Linked DNA regions of Oryzias latipes. The protein of the gene in region 1 interacts with the protein of each later gene in a pairwise test. Links are inferred from orthologs where the notes say so. Each region holds a gene or a part of one and is shown on either strand. Other genes may lie near its edges.

What was found.
Region 2: the proteins of cdca7l (region 1) and ctnnbl1 interact in binary tests that used the Homo sapiens proteins (3 or more experiments, as listed by UniProt). The link is inferred for Oryzias latipes from reciprocal best matches to the Homo sapiens genes CDCA7L and CTNNBL1.

The regions. Positions count from the first base shown.
Region 1 is NC_019869.2:9,681,166-9,684,247, reverse strand, and holds part of cdca7l (cell division cycle-associated 7-like protein), read right to left. Parts: intron 2,230-3,082; coding exon 2,047-2,229; intron 935-2,046; coding exon 779-934; intron 691-778; coding exon 541-690; intron 1-540. UniProt on the Homo sapiens protein: Plays a role in transcriptional regulation as a repressor that inhibits monoamine oxidase A (MAOA) activity and gene expression by binding to the promoter.
Region 2 is NC_019865.2:1,925,329-1,929,654, reverse strand, and holds the start of ctnnbl1 (beta-catenin-like protein 1), read left to right. Parts: upstream 1-1,280; 5' UTR 1,281-1,418; coding exon 1,419-1,448; intron 1,449-2,333; coding exon 2,334-2,567; intron 2,568-3,638; coding exon 3,639-3,745; intron 3,746-3,837; coding exon 3,838-3,977; intron 3,978-4,257; coding exon 4,258-4,326. UniProt on the Homo sapiens protein: Component of the PRP19-CDC5L complex that forms an integral part of the spliceosome and is required for activating pre-mRNA splicing.

The DNA.
Region 1 (3,082 bases):
AAATGGAAGAAATTGTAGGTTGTAGTTTGTTTGTTTTTTAACTCTGCGACCCAGTATTAACTGCCTGGTACGGGTTCGCAGCCTGGGGATTGGGGACCGCTGCTGTGGACAACGTATCTCCTACTGAATAAACTCCTTTTGTTATCTGTAGAGGATATTTGGGGCTTTTCAATAACACCACATGTGAAGGCGTTAAACGTCGGCGAAAATCGCCGGCGAAATTTGTCCCGGTGTGAACGGGCCTTAAGTCATTTTGATAGTAGGCTAATATAGCTAATATAGATACATATTGCATGTGTTGCCTTCATTATAAGGCTTAAATAGGGCTTTTAATATTTTGCGGCTCCAGACATGTTTGTTTTTTGTTTTTTTCGTCCAATTTAGCTCTTTCAACATTTTGGGTTGCCGACCCCTGACCTAGTTATATGTTTGTGGTACTGTCCTTTTGTGCAGGATTGAAAACTTTAATATATATGTGGTTATGGCATTCCCTAATGTGAGAGTAATGTGAGAGAAAGGCCTTCCTGTTTGAACACTGACCGGGTTGAGCAGCACAGAGCCCACGTCCTCTCCGTATCTGTTCTTTAGGCACGGTCCACAGAACTGACCTTTGCCCCCCACACAGAAACCACTGCGACACACTGTTTTGGTGTCCAGAGTCTTTTGTCTGCACTGGTGGCACGAGCTGCCCTGAAAATAAAAATAAAAAGCAGAGAAAGTGAAGAAAATCCCATCAGACCCACAAATATCTCTGTCAAAAGTTCCCAGAATTCCTCACGTTCTCTTTGTCCCAGATCTTATCTTTGCTGCGGAACGCGATGTTGTCCAGATCCTCTTTGGTGATCTCATCAACGGACTTCACAACGTACGCACTCTTCCTGGAAAACTGGCCCATGATCTTTCTCCGCTTGACACCGACGTGATCCTCATCCACCTGTCCAGCAGCAGCAGGTAATGAAACACAGCATGTCAGGCAAAACAGCTAAGGCTACGTTCACACCGGCCATGTGAAGCGGGTTCTTGAACCAGCAAAGCCATGCGTGAACATGAGAGGTTTGAATGCAGAATCCTAAAATGTTCAGATACATGAGTTTCCATAGACTTTGCAATGGAAGTGCTCACATGAAGGCGAGTTTTCCAGCCCGGTATGAACGTGACATAACAGGAGGTTAAGTCGTGGATGTCGGCTAACTTAACTGCCCTTAATAAAAAGAAAGCTGAGGTGATTGTGTTTACCTCTAGTGGTGGAAAATATCATGGTCTGAATCTCCACTCTTTTGCCCCTTTTTAACTGTCAAGTTTAACACACCTGGGTGTTAAACTTGATGCAACCTTGAAGCTCAACCTCCAAATAAACGCTGTGACCGGCTCCTGCTTTTTTCAGATGTGACGTCTGGCTAGGATTAAGTCTTTTAAATCAACAACAAACCTTGAAATTGTCACCAATGCCTTCGTGTTGTCCAGACTTAATTATTGCAGCTCTTGATATGCTGGCTTACCCAAAGCTTCAATGGTCAGGCTGCAGCAGCCAGATTAATTTGTGGGGCAAAGAAGTTTGACCACACAACGCTGGTCTTGGTCTCTTTGAACGGGCTGCCAGTGCAATACCTGCTTTTTACTCAATTTATTTTATTATTTTAGGTCCCTGGCAGGTACGACACCTTCTTACCTCTCCAGTCTGCTTTTAAAATATTGCCCCCTAACTTAAGTCCTTACGATCCGCTAACCACTTTGTATTCATGGTTCCCAGAACCAAGCGTGAGTTTCAGGGGGTGTAAACCATGGAATCAGCTGCCACTGGCAGTTAGAGAGGTCACACTCTTGGAGAGTTTTATAAAAGAATTGTTCATTTCAGCGCTTTAGCATCAAGCCTAGAGCTGTTCTTATGGTAGTTTTAATCTCTGTTTTAAGTTGCCTTTTATTCTTCATGTTCTGTGTTTGTTCTTCCTGTGTGCAGCAGCACTTTGGGCCTCCTTGACTGGTGGTGGAAGGTGCTTTTTAAATAAATGAATGCAGTGATACATCACCACCAGGTGTTTGCCATACCTCTATCAACCTCTTGATGTCTACATCCCTGTGGCTTCTGCGAAGAACCGGTTCGCTCTTTTCCTCGACAGCAAAGTTCTCAGGAGGACGGGCCTTGCGGGACGGGTTCCTCCTCCCCGACCCGACGTCTGGGTCCAGCCTGCGTTTCTGTGGCGATGTTTTCTGCGGCGTCCGCTTTTTCTTCTGCAAAGAAGGGGTGTCTGGATTTCAGCAAGGCGAGAGGAAAACGTGACGGAGAACAGTTGGTTGCAGCGGCCGCATTTTGTGTGGCGTTTGTCTGCAAGAACTCCACGATTTTTTGTGTTTTTGCTGCTCGATAGAATGTAAGCTAACAGCGTATTGCTTCAGCATTGATGGTTCACCTATAGGAAAAATGCACTAATAAAAGGTTGGTTTAACCACGCTGCTGTACAACATGAAAAATGTTTCTAACATGGTTATTAAGCCCAGATTCATGGTATTCAATTTATCAATTTGTATGCATGGAAAATGGCGAAACTGCAGCAGTGGAGAAAAACTGACTATAAAATAATGACCCATGAAATCTGAAAAAGCTGCTCACAAACCGTCCAATATGCTTAAAATGAATAGAAAATGTGGTTCAACTTTCTGTTTGACCTTTCATGTGATGTTTCAGAAACAAGTGCACATCATGTCTCTACTCTGCTGGGTCCACTTGGAGGAAATCAAGATGCTAAAGTGCAATAAAAAGTCTTTTCATTTAACTCAATTCTTTGAAATTAAGGTCACAGCTCATCATGAAAAAAAACTTTCTTTGATAATGTCTCATCGTCTTTGTCAGTCTTTAAATTCGATGTATGTTGCACGGTGAGCTTTTAGCTAAACCCAGATTAAAATTATTTGCTTAGCACAAATGCATGCATATTATGAAGGAATACTAAGAATTTCAACATAAAAGCAAAAATATTGAAAGGAAGATCTCGGTAGGCAGAGCATGTTTAGATTAGTGTTGCCTTAAAGTTCTAGACTGCACAGGTTTTTTACATGTTCTTTGTAGAATTAATTAATTATTTTA
Region 2 (4,326 bases), on another chromosome or scaffold:
GTTTACATTGTTGACCAATCAGATGAGCCCTTGATGTTTGCCTCCTATGTCGACGAGGGTCATTTGGAGTATAATTTTTAAACTGTTGCAGTGAAATGGGATTGATGTTTTTGGTTGTTTTGCTATTTGTTTATATACCGCAAATGATATCGTTATCGCAATAGTAATCACCAACATCGCATATCGCGAGTTTTTCTCATATCGTGCAGCCCGACTCCCAAGTGCCTTTTCTTTTGTGTGGTCAGGCCACCAGTTTAAGCATTAAGGGATGTTATTGTGTGAAATTGTTTAAACTAGGGACTGTGCTCATATAATTTACCACGAATACAATTTTAAAAGATGACAAAAGGGAAAATCGTATTTATTTGTTTGTTTGCATTTTTTAAACACATCTTTGAACACAACGAAAGCTGTGCACAAAGTTAACTCATCTCTGGTGAATATCATAACTTTAGAAAATTCCGTGACACTATATGGAATGAGTAATATTTAGACTGAGGCCTAAAAGAAAAAAGACCAAATTTAATAAAAATCCATACTCACTTGTATGAAGTTATAAATCCTTTTTTTTATTTTTTAGATCTATCTGAATGTTCAAAATTTATACTGGAATATTTTTGTTGTGTTGTTTAAATGATCTAATACTTGATATTTCCTCGATATGCAATAGATAATAGATTCGCTTTTTTCAGTTATTTGCTGATCATTCTGGAAATATTTTGACATTTGAAAATTTTAGTTCTAAATTTCAATTATTTGATCGGAAACAATATGATGCTGTGAACAAAGCTCTTCCTCGGTCGTTGATCCAAGTATCACAAAATCTATTGTTAAACAAAGTTCAATTAAAACTTCCTTCACTCCTATTGGACGGACAGCCAGTTACAAAGACAGAACTAGCAAACAGCTTCATACGAAGATTGTTTGTGAAAGAAGTCTTCCAAACATCTCATCAGAAAAAAAGCATTTCTAAACACTTCTCTAAAGAAGAGGTCATTGATTTAAGGTCGAATTTCTTTACATTTTGTATTTTACCAAAAGTAAAAGACATTCATTTTAAAATAATTAGTGATGTTTACCCATCCAAGGAATTTTTGATACTTCGTTTTGGATTTGAAGAGAATGATTGCAGTTTTTGTTTAAAGGACATTGAGACAGTGGATCATTTATTCTTTAACTGTTTAACAGTTCTGCTTTTGGTATTCTTCCAAAATTCCAATGCCAGTTCATTTAGACGCAAAATGAGATAATGGAGTGTCGCGACATCAGGTTGCCATGACGACAGGCAGCCCTGCTTTACGGCAGGCATGTTTCTGGGTAGCTTGTAGTTAGCCGTGCAGCTAGTCGCACAGCCGCACTTTCCCCTCATTGCGTTCTAAGCAGACTGTGTTTTATTGTGAGAGTTCCCGGCTGGATAAATGGATGTTGGAGAACTTTTAAACTATCAGGTACGAAGATGTGTTTCTTTCTCAGCCTCCGGTCATTCATTCAAGATGTAGCAGCTGAGCTTCAGCTCCTGGCTACAGTTTTGAACTTCAGCTTGAGCTTCTAGTTCTTCTCGCTTTACTCTCTGTCTTTTGTTTTTTTTTTTAGTTAAAATTGTGATTATTGTTTTTATAAGTTTGTACATTATGTTGTTGGCGGAGCAAAATAATAAAGACTGCTCTGCATCTCGGTACACAGTTTTTAGCGCTAAAACTAAATTAGCTTGGTTTACTTCAGTGCTGCTGGCTGCAAATTTTTATTATTAACGATAAAAAAATCATTTAAACATTTGCATTAGGGGTTTATTAAAAGAAATAATATTGGGAGAAAACCAAAAATCCGGACTTGGTGTCAAATGTTTTTGGCTGCTGGATGGATGACGTTTCACTCAGTCATTCCCTAAAAGTTCTTAGAAATAATCTGTCATGTCATCCTTTAATATAAATGTGATTATTTTATGTAATAAAGTTCAAAAATCTTACTCCTGTGCTGTGTTTTTCATTTGCGTTTTGAAAAAGTACCAACAAGTTCCTATCATTAATGCTGAAAGCTGCTATGGCTGTTATCTTGTTATGGATTTTTACCTATTTCCTAATAATAATCATTACTCAGATGCCCTATTAAGCTCATTCTTCTTACTGTTTAAACAATTTAAGTAATATTAATTTACAGGTGAAGTAATCACATCATTTAAATTGTACTGGACTTTATTGACTTATTTTGCTGCAGCTTTTCCGAACAATTGTTTTCATACATTGGACATTCATCATTGCCTGTTCACCTGATATTTCTTCATCACGTTCAGTCGCTGTGCTCCTTATTGCATGTCACTGGTTTTCCACTCTTAGCCCGATAGAGGAGCAAAACGTCCCAGGGAGCAAGAAGGAAGAGCAGCAGGAGGAGACGATGATTCCAGAGGAGGGAAGCAGCAGAAGGGACTGGGATCCCGGGACCCGGCCAGACATCGGGAAGCTGGAGCGGGATCAGAGGGTCGTGCTGAACCGGGGGACGGCGAAGAGCAGACCGGGGACAAGAAGAGGATACTGGAAAAACTGATGGACCAGGATGAAGAAGAACCCGAGGTGGGAAAGCTGTTTTTATTTACTGGTCGTTTTTTTTCTTTCTTCCAAAAGGCTGTGTCTGTAGTTCAGACTTCTTCCTTTTTTTATCACAGAGACCATTTGATTCCTCTTTAGGTGGAAAAATGCTGTTTTGTTTGTAATTTAAAGCGAGTTATGCAGAGCTGCCTCTTTAGAGAGTGCAGGAATGATGCAGAAGTGATGAACATTTGCAATACGGCATACATTTGGAGGAGCTTAATGCTTTTGGTTCTTTTGCACTACTGTCTAAGCATAGATGAATAGTTGTGTCGTTGCCACGACTACTCAACTTCTGCTAACAACCACATGGTAAGAATTGGACAAAATGAGGGAAGGAAGTGACTGAGAAGAACTAATAAGTGTTAGAAGGTTCTTTCTCCTTATTTAAATGTTCATTGTGTCCATTTTTCAAGGTGCGAGGTGAAAACAATTATCAAAAACAAAAACGCATGTGTGCGAATGTAACCATCCTTTTGGTATTGATAACAGATAAAAATGAAGAGAGACCACGGTGATGAGTAAATGTTGGTAAACGTACCTGTTTTTTTTTTTTTTTTTTGTGGCATTAAAAGCCAGAAGGCGAAGCTCTTAAGTTAGGCCACGGTGGAAAATGCAGCTGCGTCAGAATTTCCAAAGGAGTAACACTAGAACCAGTGTTACCATATTGCAGTGCATTTGAAGACTGCACATTGATAATTCAGTTCATATTATCCCCACACTGCAGGCATTTTCAAAAATTTACTCTGTCAAGGGCCTCTCAGAGCTAATGGCTCCTCTTCTCCATAATGTCAGGCAGTTGAAATGTCCTAACCGGTCATTATCCGTCTAGCACTTTACAGCTTTTAAGCCTTCAGGAGGTCAAACGCATCCCCTTTTTCTGTAAAATGTACCCTAATTGATGCAAAAAAATGACTCCACTCACACGTTTAATGTCGCAGTGATGGCTCTTTGCTCCGGCAGCAGCTGCTTCGACCTAAAAAGCTTTTGCCCCCTTTTTCCTCCTCTATTTTCTTCACCACTGCCATGTCCTCTGATGTTCCACGGATCAAACAGGCCGAGCCGGTGGATGAAAGCACAGTGAAGAAAATGATCCTGACCTTTGAGAAAAGGTCATACAAAAACCAGGAACTGAGGATCAAGTTTCCTGACAATCCTGAGAAGTAAACATGCTTTTCCTTTATTATTTTTTACATCAAAGATTTTGTTTAAATGTTCTTTTTTTGGAAAACTATTAACTTTGTTTCCGAACCAGGTTCATGGAGTCGGAGCTGGATCTCAACGACATCATCCAGGAAATGCACGTGATCGCCACCATGCCGGATCTCTACCACCTGCTGGTGGAGCTCAATGCCGTCCACTCCCTGTTGGGCCTTCTAAGCCATGAAAACACAGATATCCTTCACATGGATTTTGACCTGCAAACTGGTTTATCTGGGGGCTGGAGCTCTATATAAAACATAATGCATCAGCGATTTTGGATTTGTTAGCTCTGATTAGAAAAACTCTAGAAAACCTGTTGTAGCAGTTAATAATATCTATCTTTAAGATAACATGAAAGCAACCAAACTAAGACTTTTGGGCTCACCCACATGTGTTATTATTGATATGATTTAGTTGTCTGTTTGGGGCGGGGCTGTTGTCGGTCAGTTTTATTGTCCTCAACCCAAAGCACATGTCGCCATCGCGGTGGTGGACCTGCTGCAGGAGCTGACAGACATCGACACACTCCATGAGAGCGAGG